Arabidopsis thaliana: one gene and its partners. The protein of the gene in region 2 interacts with the protein of the main gene of each other region in a pairwise test. Each region holds a gene or a part of one and is shown on either strand. Other genes may lie near its edges.

Evidence for each region. The genes of interacting proteins can lie anywhere in the genome.
Region 1: the proteins of CRK19 (region 2) and AT5G52420 interact in a protein complementation assay, tested with the Arabidopsis thaliana proteins (one large-scale study listed by BioGRID).
Region 3: the proteins of CRK19 (region 2) and AT5G47180 interact in a protein complementation assay, tested with the Arabidopsis thaliana proteins (one large-scale study listed by BioGRID).

Annotation. Positions count from the first base shown.
Region 1 is NC_003076.8:21,280,210-21,283,353, reverse strand, and holds AT5G52420 (uncharacterized protein), read right to left. Parts: upstream 1,582-3,144; 5' UTR 1,538-1,581; coding exon 809-1,537; 3' UTR 548-808; downstream 1-547. Other genes in the region: AT5G52430 (hydroxyproline-rich glycoprotein family protein), read left to right, coding at 1-261.
Region 2 is NC_003075.7:12,169,377-12,174,679, reverse strand, and holds CRK19 (cysteine-rich RLK (RECEPTOR-like protein kinase) 19), read right to left. Parts: upstream 3,664-5,303; 5' UTR 3,548-3,663; coding exon 2,782-3,547; intron 2,691-2,781; coding exon 2,553-2,690; intron 2,462-2,552; coding exon 2,340-2,461; intron 2,050-2,339; coding exon 1,839-2,049; intron 1,756-1,838; coding exon 1,518-1,755; intron 1,435-1,517; coding exon 1,281-1,434; intron 1,195-1,280; coding exon 901-1,194; coding exon of another isoform or gene 886-900; exon of another isoform or gene 740-885; coding exon 719-739; coding exon of another isoform or gene 635-718; 3' UTR 503-634; downstream 1-502. Other genes in the region: AT4G23271 (uncharacterized protein), read left to right, coding at 635-736; CRK18 (cysteine-rich RLK (RECEPTOR-like protein kinase) 18), read left to right, coding at 4,625-5,303.
Region 3 is NC_003076.8:19,160,462-19,165,858, reverse strand, and holds AT5G47180 (Plant VAMP (vesicle-associated membrane protein) family protein), read left to right. Parts: upstream 1-1,878; 5' UTR 1,879-2,593; coding exon 2,594-2,654; intron 2,655-3,006; coding exon 3,007-3,077; intron 3,078-3,184; coding exon 3,185-3,266; intron 3,267-3,351; coding exon 3,352-3,467; intron 3,468-3,569; coding exon 3,570-3,701; intron 3,702-4,131; coding exon 4,132-4,200; intron 4,201-4,343; coding exon 4,344-4,475; 3' UTR 4,476-4,850; downstream 4,851-5,397. Other genes in the region: AT5G47190 (Ribosomal protein L19 family protein), read left to right, coding at 1-243, 415-501, 590-723, 1,319-1,427. UniProt on the Arabidopsis thaliana protein: May play a role in vesicle trafficking.

The DNA of each region.
Region 1 (3,144 bases), on a different chromosome or scaffold from region 2:
AAGCTAAATCGATCACACGACAGAATGAACAACAATGACCGGATCGAAACAGAGGAGAGTTCATCAACAGACATAAGAAGAAACATAGAGAAAAGGTCAGGAGACAGAGAGAACGAACAGCATAGAATTCAGAAGCTGAGTTCCTCATCGATTGGATCTAGCAAAGAATTTAAATTCGACAACACGAAAGACGAGAATATCGAGAAGGTTGCAGGAAACAGCTGGAGTTTCTTCCCGGGGTTACGATCTGGAGTCAGCTAACCAAATTAAAATGACATCTCTTCTTCTTCTTCCTCATTACCAAAGACAGAGATATAAAACCCTATAAGTAACAAACCTTGAACATGGATCGTGAAAAAAGGTAAGAGATTTGGGTTCTAACAACTTATACACACTGAATAAATAAGCTTAAAGCTTTGATTTGCAGTTAACTTCTGTACTCATGTAGTTGGAAACTTTGGAATATTCTTGGATCAGCTCCTACATCTAATCTTGTTACATTGATATAAATTGTTTATTTCTTGTTTTACTGTTTCATACAAATATATTGTTTGAACTGAGATCGTGAATGGTCTTATTCTATATCATTACTAAAACATTTTCATTTCTGTTCTTTCAGAAACATAGATTCGGTTATTATCGTAAGAAATCTAATACAACTGTGAACTACTACATAAACTGAATTGTTCAAAAGAAAACATCGAAATAATATACAGAACAAAAAGGGAAAACAACAAGAGCTGTGAACCACAAAGGAATTAAACCGGGTTTTGACTCTCCTTATTGGAACCGGAACTAAACCGGGATTTCAATCCTCCTTATCAGAACCGTAATACCTCTTAAACGCTCTGGGTAGATAAACCGGAATCAAAACACCAAAGAGATTAAACGACCAAATCCCTAAATTAGCCGCCGCCAAAACTTTCCCGGCATACATCCGCCGCGCAGAAACCGTCCCCGTCACATCCTCCCTCGAGAACTCACTCATAATCCACTCCACAAGAGTCAAAACCCTCCTGGCGTTGTAAACAATCGGAACAAGAATCCTCGCCGGAGCAGAGAAGCCAAACATGGTCGCTAATCCTTCCATAAAAATCTGACTCGCTAAAAGAAACACGTGCGGTGCAGCTGCGCTAACACCGTTCTTATCATCCTCAACGATTCCTTCGAAGATGTAACAGATCGGAATGATAAGCCCGACGATCCCCGCCGCTGTAACATAGATACGGAAGATTTTGTTTGTGGAGCTTGTGAGAGGAGCGTCACGGTTTGGATTGTTGTGTGGTGGGAAGATAAGTTTCGAGAGGAAGAAGAAGTAGATGAGAGTGAGGATCGTGAATATGAAATCTTGGATTGTTACGAGACCACTTGCGGAGAGAACGATGATTATTGCGAGGATGTTTAGTTGTCGGAATGAGAAGAATCCGGCGGGTTTTCCGGTGGATGATACTGTTGAGGTGGATTGGGTTTGATGTTCTTCTTCTTCTTCTTTGGGTAAGGTTATGTCGTTGTACGTTGGACCGACACCTCCAGACATCGTTTTGGTGTAAGTTTTTTTTTTTTGTTTTCTCGGGAAAATGTGGTGAGAAAGTTTTAGAGGTGGAGGAAGATAAAAAGAGTGTGAAGAAGGGGACACGTGGCGGATAGTGAAGAGTTTTGAATGGAAGAGGTTTAGAAGACGTGGCGGATTATTGTTGTGCTCACAATTAGTTTAGATTTTATTATTTTAACTACATGCAGGTAATTTCGTAAAAGTTCTTAAGAAACATATAAATATATGTGTTAATAGGAAGCCTAATTATTTTGGCTTTCTGGACGTAAGTGCACTAGGCTTTGTAGTTATAGATTTCAATTATAAGCTTCAATGATTACTAGTTATAAAAAATGATATAATTAGTTAGCAGGAAATGAATCCGGAACCATAAACTGTAGAATTGATTTAACTAAAAAGGAACTAATTACTAGAAATCGTATGAAACAAGGCATTGTAGATTACTAGACTTGTAGTAGAATATGGAATATTGTAGATATTCTACAAGAAGAGCTTAGATCATGGGTGAGAATACTTGGTTGTAGAAACAACTTTAAATTCGACCTCCAATGTCAAAGTGTCATTGTCCAAGTAATTACACTCCCGATGGCTATAGCCGCAAAATCTTCGCAACCCCACCCTTGAGTTGATTTCTTGTAACAGACGTTAACTGCAAGAAAAATAAATATATGTAAGGTATTGAAAATTTAGTTAAGACTTGAAAAAAGCAACTAAGTGATTTATTCAAGAATATAGAAAATTGTGTTTCAAAGTTAATTATACGTTTCTGTGTGACGTGATTGTTGTATACATGTGGACGTGGGTATAATACTCGGAGATCTGCATGCACGTAAATCTTCTCATCCTCCGAAAAGGTTTCACTATCAGCTATATATATGCAGAAATAAGGACAACCATTTGCCATCTGCCTCTCTTCCCTTTGGATACATCTTCAAACACCTATAGAAAAGTCACATTATTTTGTATACACTTAGCATACATAGACGTGTATATATATTCAATGACTTATTAGCCTCACCATTCTCTTCCTCCAACTGAAAAGTTGTTTGACACATAAAGATTCTCTGTCAATAAGGAGAAACCATTGGCACTCCAGGAGAATGTGGATGGTGAGAGTTTCTGATCAAAAGACATCACTTCCCAATTGGTAAGGGGTGGAACAACCATCACTTCAACACCAAACTCGCATTTTTGCCCGTCGAATATATATCCATTTTTTGGATTTTCGAATAAGTGGAGAGGAAGCATTTGAGAGAATCCCCATACCATTCTTAAAGCATTGAAACGCTTTACTTCAGTATCTATTAGAAAAAATGGAGTAATTCAACGTGACATATGTGACAAATGAACAAGTCTTATATAGTTAATATAAATATTGAATAATATAGATATGTTTTAAACCAACAACTTTGAATAGTAAAGTACATTTGTTCTTTCTTATTGTAGACGAAGAACTTGACATATGCAAAAACTTCAGATGTGCTGTCTATTTCTACGTACATTGAAATATAACCACTTCCATGGTCCTCGTCGTTCCCTTTTGGATATATAATCAATTTCCTGCAGGTTTTCTTTTTAACAGAAATATTATT
Region 2 (5,303 bases):
AATTGAGGATGGTTCATACTCTTCTGACGGCTATAAGTCAATCAAAGAAAGTCATGGTAAACGCCGGTTTTATTTAATTTTAGTTTGTAATGTCAAAACAATAGCTAGTTCTTTCAAACAAAGAGAGAAGTTTAAGTTACTATTTATAGCCTTACCAAAAGAAAAGAGTTAACGATTTCTGTATAACGATAAATTATTTGTCAGTAATTTGCTCTTTTTAAAAAAACTTTAATTCCTCGTCAAAACTCATTGATTTACACATTTCCAAGTTTAATTTTCTCTCTTTTTCTCTCTAAATTTGCTAATCCTATATACATATTTTTTTCGTGGAGTTGTCATATTTATCATTTATGAGAGCATGAAAAATCAGCGTGAGGAGAGTACTTCAAAGTTCAAAAATAGTCTTGTCTTTACGTTATAATTGAAGCTTCTCCCAAAGAAATTCTTACAGAACTGAAAAATAGCATTTTAAGTTTACAACATAAAATTTAACTCAATGTGCTTCTTATTTGTGGAGAAAAATCAAATCTAGCTTGATCATTATTGATGTACGAAATCAAACAAGTAACAAACGAGATCTCAAGGGAAGTTTAAAGAATCACTATTTTATAGATGGGTGTAGATCGCTTCTTGGATGAGTAGTTTGAGGACGACCGTCAAGATTCTTAATCGTCCTCCAGTGACTTTTCTAGCTCATATTCCTTGTTCAGTTGTTGTTCTATTGTTGATGCTTTGACCACTGAAATGAATACTTGTTAATTAAAGAATTTATAAAGAAAATAAACAATAAAACCAGTTTAACTTACATGAATTTTTGTTCACTGTCGATCTTAATAGTCTAAAATCATATATCACAAATGTTTAGATTAACGAATAGTTTTGTCTTCAACGAGGAGTTACACGAGTAATGGAAGCTTCGTCGACTGAACAATGCGTAGATGAATCAATAGATGGACCTGCTTGTTCCTGCTTGCTTCGGAAGAAAAATCCAGGTGGTCTAGGCTCAGCGAGAGCGATCAAGCTAGTAGTGAGCATTTGAACTATCGATGACATGGTTGGACGATCTTCAGCATCTTCCTGAACACATAGTAAAGCGATATGGATGCACCTAGTAATTTCGCTTGTTTGATAATTATCTCCAAATGACGGATCTACAAGCTCTGATGGCGACCCATTGCTCCATAGTCTCCAAGTCTATTGAACATTTTAATAATTTAGACTTTGGTCACGTTTTTAAATAAAGCAAAAAGAAATTAGAAGTTTTAAGGCTTTATACTCACATATGTAACCAAGTTGCCAACACTTTCATCCATTTGATAGAGACTACTATTCTTCATGCCGCTTATAATCTCAAGTACTAAGACGCCAAAACTGTACACATCTGATTTCATGGAGAATTGGCCGTACATCGCATACTCGGGAGACATGTATCCACTGCCATAATTCTTATTTTTTTTAGTTGATTGAAACGTATTACGGTCTATTGATGAAAAAAAAGTGGCAAGAGCAATACTTACTAAGTTCCAACTACTCTTCTTGTCATGGCTTCTGTTTGGTCCATCCCAAATATTCTCGCCATTCCAAAATCTGCAATTTTAGGATTCATATCATCATCCAAGAGGATGTTCCCTGCTTTGAGGTCTCGATGTATAATTGTGAGTCGTGAATCTTGATGAAGATAAAGAATTCCTCTAGCAATTCCTCCTATGATCTTGTACCTTCTTGTCCAGTCTAGCTTCATTTTCATCGTAGAGTCTGTACAGCGTATTTCAAATGTTAAGAACAAAGAATGGCATACAATTTGAAGATATCTTGGCTACGTACTAAATTTAACTGACCAAAGAGGAAGTGATCAAGGCTCTTGTTGGGCACAAACTCGTAGACAAGTATTTTTTCTTCTCCTTCCAAACAATAACCAAGCAGCTTTACCAAATTTCTATGTTGGAGCTTTGCAACAACAACAACTTCGTTTTCAAACTCTTTTTCACCTTGTCCTGATGTCTTCGATAGTCTCTTCACCGCAACTTGTAGTCCACTACTCAATGTACCCTACACGAGTAATTTATTTTAAGATAACCATAAGTATATAGGAATTGTCGGTAAGATTAATCATGAAAATGAAGTACTCAAAATGCAAGTATACAAGTAGAAGTTAGTATTTGTTACAAATATAGGATGATAATTAACGACTAGAGTTTCTTTGTTCCGCAACAACCTTTGCAAGTACAAGGTTGCTGCACTCATCCCATACATCTCAACTTTCGAAGTAATGTGTGTGAGATTTGATTTGGAAACAGGGGAAAAACAGAGTACATTGCTCTGTTCAATGGTAATAATACCTTGTAAACTTCGCCGAAACCACCTTGACCTAGCTTGTTAATTGGCAAAAAGCAATTCGTTGCTGCCTCAATTGCCTTAAAATCAAACTGAAGTGATCCTGCAGTCGTAATATCATTCCCATCTGGAAAAGAAAACTTCAACAGCTGAATTAAGTAAGAGCACAACAGACTATTCATTCTATGAGGAGATATGTTTATCACTGGTGTGCTTACCTTCAGCTACTGGTTCCTTCTCATTAAGCGTCCTCTTATTTTTAGCCCTGACACTAAAAACAGCTACTAATAGAAGAAAAAGTACAGTGATTGGAACAACAACTGCAATAATTATGACAGAGGAGTTTCCACCTTTTCCTGTATCAACAACAGCAAGAATTTTTTAAGCAAAATTCTTGTATGAAACTTGTGTTGAAATATGTAGTCAAAGGAAAGGGACTGTTCATACCAGGACGTGGTGATGAATCTTGAGGTGTTCCAACATTAGATTCGTTGTAAAACGCGTAATTATCGTATCTTGAAGCACAGCTCGGCAGAAGAATCCTTCCCCCAATTTTGTCATAGGTTACTTGATTGATGCCTATTTTCAGACAGTCTAAGCAGTCTTGTTCCCTAAGATCAGGAGTGCACCGAACCATTCCGTACAAACTCTGGGATGCATTTAAATCAATTTTTCTCACAGCCCATTTTTTGAAACTCCTGGCGGCTTCAACGGCGGCTAAGTTCATGGGGGTCAAGACCAAATCTCTGAACTGATCTTGTTTGACTGATAGAGGATTCCTAGCGCTCTGCATGAACATTCCTCCATCGGTGTTTAGAGTGGCTACTATATTCCTGTTAGAGTATCTGAGCAGACACTGCTCGTAATAGAACACGCCTTCTTTATCTTTTGGACACCGAGTCAACGTTTCGTTTACGGCAAAGGTGACGCAGCTACGGCAAACTTCCGACGAGACGTCGACGCGGCAGAGGAAAAGTCCGGTGACCCTGTCGGGGGCCTGTCCCGCCGTGGCGGTTTGGAATCCGGTGGAGTAAGAAGAAGCGTTAAGGGAAGAGAGAGAGGACAAAAGGGTTTTGAGATTGGTGGAGTAAGTGCTGTTACTTGAGAAAGTCGTCGTGACTGAACAATTATGATATAGGTAGAAAGTATTTTGAGCAGAAGCTGTGATGGATGAGAAAAGGAAAAGGAAGATGAAAGAGATCAGAGAAGACATGGTTCCTTTTCCTCGATCTGGGTTTCAGATCATGTAGCTCTCAATTTTTGAAACTAGAACTATATTTTTCCCTTTTTTCTATGAGACCAACAAGTCTTAGTAAACGCCGGTTTTATTTTATTTTATTTTGTAATGTCAAACTTGTATCGCGCAAAATAATAACTATTATTAAAAAAAGACAAAGAGAGAGTAGTTACGATTTCTAAATTACAATAAACTATTTGTCAGGAATTAAAGGAAAAAAAACAGCCTAACTTAGTTGGATATGATAAGATATTATTTGTCAGAAAAGAATCTTTTCTCTCTCTCTCTCAATTTTCTAATACAAGATATTATTTTTATATTTTTATTTTTTCGTGGACATCAGAAATTCAGAATTATGATAGCATGAAAAATCAGCGTGAGGAGAGTACCGCAAATATTGTCTTAAATTGTATTTACGCTGTAATTTAAGCTTCTTAAAAAAAAAAAAGTTTTAAACCATTTTCAACTCTATTTTAAAAGAATTGTATTCTAATGATCATCTCCAAAATAAAGTTTTTTCAAAAATAAAGGAAAATATAGAAGTAACCATCGAAGATGTCTTTACGTAACCGAAAAATAGCATTTTACACTTTACATCACAAAATTAAAGTCACTATGCTTCTTATTTGTGGAGAAAACAAATCGAATCTAGCTTGATCATTTTTGCGTGTTTTGAGATGACAATTTTTTCTTTCTGCGTGTTTTGACTTTTTAGATATGAGTCATTAAATGCATTCACATCCTCCAAGCATGTCTACTAGCAGGTCTTTTCCTTGTTCTGTACGTAGATGATGCATCGATCACGGTTTTTAGCTCTCGTTGAAATTGAGGCTAATGATTAACATGTATATTCTTTCATAAGCCCCAAAACCTAATATCAAAGATTGACTCACATAGTCCAAGTCTAGCACAAAAATTTCAAAGTTGTCAATTTCTTATTAATGTGCATGGTTATTCAAATGGAAATTTTAAACTGATGATTAAATTTCTAAGAACCACAAATAGTCAAATACTAACTACACCACCCACACATTATCTCAAGAAAAAAGAAAAATGGCAACGAAGAGTTGTGAATTAGTCCTCTGTTTCTTCGTCTTTTTCGTCATAAGCTTCAGTGCAATTTCTGTTTCTGCACAAACTTGTGACAATACTACTGGGACTTTCATACCCAATAGTCCTTATGATAAGAACCGCCGACTCATCCTCTCTACTCTAGCTTCTAACGTCACGGCTCAGGAGGGCTACTTCATCGGTTCGATTGGGATTGCTCCTGACCAAGTCTTTGCCACCGGGATGTGCGCTCCAGGTTCTGAGCGTGATGTTTGCTCTCTCTGTATCAGGTCCACATCAGAGAGTTTACTACAAAGCTGTCTGGACCAGGCAGATGCTTTCTTCTGGTCAGGTGAAGAAACCCTTTGCCTTGTTCGCTACGCTAACCGCCCCTTCTCTGGATTGCTCGTCATGGATCCACTAGGAGCGATATTCAACACAGGAGAACTCAATACGAATCAGACTGTGTTTGATATCGAGTGGAATAATTTAACTTCTAGTATGATCGCCGGAATAACTTCTTCTTCATCAGGGGGGAACAATTCGTCTAAGTACTACTCAGACGATATAGCTCTTGTGCCGGATTTTAAGAACATATCAGCGTTGATGCAATGCACACCAGACGTTTCGTCAGAGGATTGTAACACTTGCTTACGGCAAAACGTTGTCGACTATGATAATT
Region 3 (5,397 bases), on a different chromosome or scaffold from region 2:
TCAAGACTATCAGTTTCTAGGGTTTTTCTCAATCATTCGAGCTCCAATTTTGGTTTCGCCATCGATTCCAAGAAGAGAAAAGAGTTTATCGCTAAAGCTGAAGAGAGTACTGAAGGTGAAACTGAGGCTGTTGTGGAGAATGCTGTTGAAACTGAAGCGGAAGGAGAAGGAGAAGCCACTGTTGCGGCGGAGGAAGCTAAACCTCCGTGGAAGACGAGAGTCAAGCTCGGAGATATCATGGGGGTTAGTTCATTATCCAATGTGATTCTATGAGATTGTCTAGTGTTTTGTTTTGGCTCTGAATCTGATTATACATGTCTGATACTGTAGTTGTTTTGGCTCCTGTTCTTAAATCATCAGTTATCTTTTAGGCATTGGAGAAATGAAATGTTGATTTGCTTTTTGTTTCTGTAGCTACTGAACAAGAAAGCTATTGAGGTTGCAGAGACTGTAAGACCGGTTCCTGGACTTAGGACTGGGGATATTGTAGAAATCAAACTGGTAAAACTCATTGTCCCCGTATAATCTTATGCAATTTATGCATTTAACTGCAAGATTTTGATACGACATGGTGGGTTTGATTTTACAGGAAGTTCCTGAGAACAAACGTAGGCTATCTATCTACAAAGGTATTGTGATGTCTAGACAAAATGCAGGCATCCACACTACTATCCGTATCCGGAGGATTATTGCAGGCATTGGTGTTGAAATCGTCTTTCCCATGTAAGTTTATTCTTCCTTAACTATCCTATTATCACACACTTACTCGGGTATATTGATAAGTATAAATGTAAATAGTATTAGATAGTCAGAGTTAAGGGTCTTTGACCTTGTTAAGGAGTCTTTTGGCTTTGAGAGAGATTTTAGGAACTCTAAAACAAACCGGAATTAGCTTCTTTTATCGTGAACAGTCATAGTCTTCGCTTCTTGAGAACTTAAGAGATTTACAATTCTATATCTGATCATATGTATTAGCTTTCTTCACGAAAAAAGGAAATAATTGCTACTCCAAGTATGATACTATAGGAACTAGTACATAAATGCTGGAAGTCTTAGCATTATAGGTCACCAAGCTTTGTGCTTATTTACTACAGAAACGCGCACCAACCTTTAATCTTAATCACTCTAGAGTCTAGCCGTTATCATAACATACTAGTCCCTATGAACTTTCCAGTACTATTGGCTGATTCTACAATGAAGTAATATGTAACTGATATGTTTTGATCTTGAACAGATACTAATCTACACAATCAAGTAATATGTTTTGATCTTGGTTTAGAATATGTATCTGATGTGATGTGTGTTTTGAATTTAACAGATACTCTCCCAACATAAAGGAGATAAAAGTGGTAAGTCACAGGAAAGTGAGAAGAGCAAGACTTTACTATCTGAGGGACAAACTTCCTCGTCTCTCAACTTTTAAATGATCACCAAACCCAACACCAGTCTTGTCTTGTGTTGTCTTCAATCTCCAAAGGTAGCTAGCTACTCTCTTTTCTCTTGTAATAATTGTTTGTTTGTTTCGTCTTTTGGATTTCATTTCTTTTCATGTAATTTACAGTAACAGTAATTTAAGAAAAGTAAATCAATGTTGATTGTTTTGATCTTGAGTATGTAGAATCTGGACCCTTTAGTATTCTTTTTCAGAAATATGACTGATTTAATCATTAAAATAAAACTTTTGAATCATTGAAATTGCTTTTCAAAATAGATTTTTTACATGTAAAATCATGTAATTCATTCATGTAAATGAATTTTCCAGCTAAAGCAGGAAAAAAGAAACGAATGATTGAGTATTTTTCTTGTCTCTTTCCTCTGTATGATGACTTTTATGTCCGATAATTAATTACTTGCTAACAATCAATCATTAATGGACACGGAGAAATAAATTTAAAATATCATCAATCGTGAGAGACGAAAAATGGCCTACCACCCTGAAAGCTCATTATAGCCTTTTTAGCCACTATATAAAATCAAACACCAATCAATATCTGCCACGTCATCATCCTCTTTTTTCCAGCCTGTCGCTTTTAACCTTTGTTTTTTCGTCTCTTACAATGCACAACTGTTTTCACACGTGTCACATTTTTCCCTCTCTTCTCTCTCTTTCGCTCTTTCTTCTTCCCCGCAGTTCCCGGAGACGACGCCGGAGGAAAATCGTACGGAAACTTTGCTTCGACTTCACGTGGCCGCTCCACGAAGCGCCTTTGGGTTTCGTCTTCCCCGTTTCTCTTTCTCTCTCTTCTTTTGCCTTTGTTACCACGAATAGAACGAGAGGAGAGAGATAGGAGGAGAGTTTTGGGATATTGGTGGAGAGCGATTATCGGGAGAGCCAGAGAAAAAAATAAGCAGCTTCTTCCTCCCTCATCGTTGGGACCGTGACTTTTGTTTTCTTCAGGTTTGATCCGTCTTTTTTTCCTCTCTTCATTTCTCAGTTTTTCCCCTCTTTTTACCTTTTCTGGAAAAAAGTTAGATAAAATCGGAATTGTTTGGATTAGGGCTTCGATTTTTTGATGTTGTTGTATACTTTTTTCAATAGAGATTTGATTGTGAAACTTTTGTCGTCGTAGCTTTAAGCAAACAAAAAAAAAAGATGACCGGCGTTGGCGAGAATCAGCTTATCTCCATTCAACCTGATGAACTCAAATTTCTCTGTAAGCATTCTTCTACACTCTCTTCGTTAATCAATGGCATGCATTTGTCTCATCTATACTTGGTTAATTCTAGGGATATCTATTCTTAATTTGTGAAATGTGAATGAGAAAAGGCTTCTCTCGAATTTACCATCTTTTTGTTCTCTAGAGATTTCGAAATTGTGTGTATCATCAATGCTTGTTTTCCTCTTGTTTACATACACCAGCATCAAGTTTTTGTTAACTTCTTTGAGCTTTTGAGGTTCTGACTTTAGATAAGGCTGATTCTCTTGGTTATTAAGAAAATTGCTGTTTGAAACTTTTTGGAGGGTCTTCCTTTGGATGACATTTGGAATTTTTGATTTTGTTTCAGTTGAACTTGAGAAGCAAAGCTACTGTGATCTTAAAGTTGCCAATAAAACAGAGAACTATGTTGCTTTCAAGGTAATTTCTGCATCAAACCACCAACTTCATATGCTTTGTCTTGTGATCAAGTTATTTCGTTTGTTACAATGGCTTCTTTCTTTTGTGTTTTTGGCTTCATCAATCAGGTGAAAACAACATCTCCAAAGAAGTATTTTGTAAGACCTAACACTGGTGTCATTCAGCCATGGGACTCTTGCATCATTAGAGGTATAGTAATTCCTCATACTCTAACTTCTTTCATTAGCAGTTTAAAACTTGAACATGGAGATGATTAAGATCTTCTTAATTATAGTTACTCTACAAGCGCAACGAGAGTATCCTCCAGATATGCAGTGCAAAGACAAATTTCTCCTGCAAAGTACCATTGTACCTCCACACACTGATGTGGATGAACTTCCTCAAGACACTGTAAGAAATCCAAGTTTAAAACTTTTTTTATTAAGATTCTTCTTGTTTCTGCAGTTTTTGGAAAACAAATTGACATTATATATGCAATACTTGTGTGTCTAGTTCACCAAGGACAGTGGAAAGACATTAACAGAATGTAAGCTCAAAGTCTCTTATATTACCCCGTCTACAACCCAAAGATCCTCTGAATCCGGAGCAACAAATGGTGATGGACAAAGCTCGGAAACCATCTCTGTGAGTACCCACCTATATTATTTAATCTGCATGTGGTAATGATTTACTTAGTATGTTGACGTACCATGGACCTCTTGCATAGACAGACACCTTATGAATAGTCCCTTTTTTGTGATACCTGTCTGCAAGAATTATTATTCAAAGTTTCAATCAAATTTTAGACTTTCTAGTATTCGCACTTTTGGTTTTCAAGCTATAGATACTGTAATGACAGACTGAGTTGATTGGTTGGGACAGTGAGACATACGCTGGTTTTCAAAGCTTTAATTTTTTGTTTGGGTTATTATTATACCTTTCTTCATAAGGTGAACAAATGTATCTCACAGAACCTCACAAGTGGCCACATTCATATCATAATTTAAGAAAGATTAATTCGTGTCTTGTTTTAATCCTCTTTCTGGACGTTTATACCATCAATATGTATGAACAGACTATACAGCGGCTGAAGGAAGAGCGAGATGCAGCCGTTAAGCAAACACAACAGCTGCAACATGAATTGGTACGCTTCCATGAACCTTTTCCTTGATAGTTTAGCATTGGTTAATGCTTGCAATCATATTACCATTCAGACAAAATCATGTGAACATAACAGTGCTTAATAACAAAGGATACTGCCTAAAATGTTTTTGAACGACATTGCAGGAAACGGTAAGGAGGCGGAGAAACCAGAGGAACAGCGGAAATGGGCTATCCTTGAAGTTGGCAGCTATGGTTGGACTCATCGGACTCATCATCGGTTTCATCCTAAAACTTACCTTAGCTTCTCCCACATAACAACTCTTGAGCTTCAACACATCGCCTATCATCTCAATATATGTAACAGCCGAATCAAAACAGATTCACATATTTTCGGGTATTTTAAATCTTCTAAATTTGGGTTATTTATATCCCTCTCTTTCTTTCTCCTAATGTTCCACACGTTTCTTCCATCAAATTTTCTTCTTTTTTTCAGTTATAAATTATGTACATTTTTGACCCAAGAGACCCTTTCATCATTGGTTTTACTTGTCCACTTTTTCAATCCTCTTTGTGCTTTATTGAAGATGGCTAATCCTTTGTATTGTTTACCCGTTTGTGAAGGAATTCTGTTACAATTATTTTATCGATCATTGCATCACTTAAATGAAAGGTATAATTAGCCACCAGGTCTTTAAATGAAAACTTGAGCATATGAGCTTTTGTTTAAATTTATGAATATGGTAGTGTCTTCTCATGAATATATGCATAAGATTACTTCATCAGAAAATCACTAAGGCTTTATGTGAAGAGTCTCAAAGTCGTAAACAAAAAATATTAGTAATAGCAAGTTAACAACAATTGAAGAAAGATTACGGTAAGAAAACAGAATCGAAACTCTCAGAGAGCAGTAACTGCAGAATTTTTAAGATATATTTTAGTAATGATTATATTTTATTACTTTGCTAAGTAAGTAAGATATATTTTAGTAATGATTATATTTTATTGAAATCATGAATTTTTAATTTGAGGAAACACTAGAATATCAATTGTTAGGGAAAAATTGGATTTGTTTTTAAAAAAGAGATATAGAGATTATTAACTATAGATGACAAGATTTTTAAATAATTTACCTACCAAAATTCATCAATCAAATTTGTAAAAATATATCTTTATTATATATATATATATATATATATATATATATAATCTTGTTTGTGATATTTCAGTGTACACTACA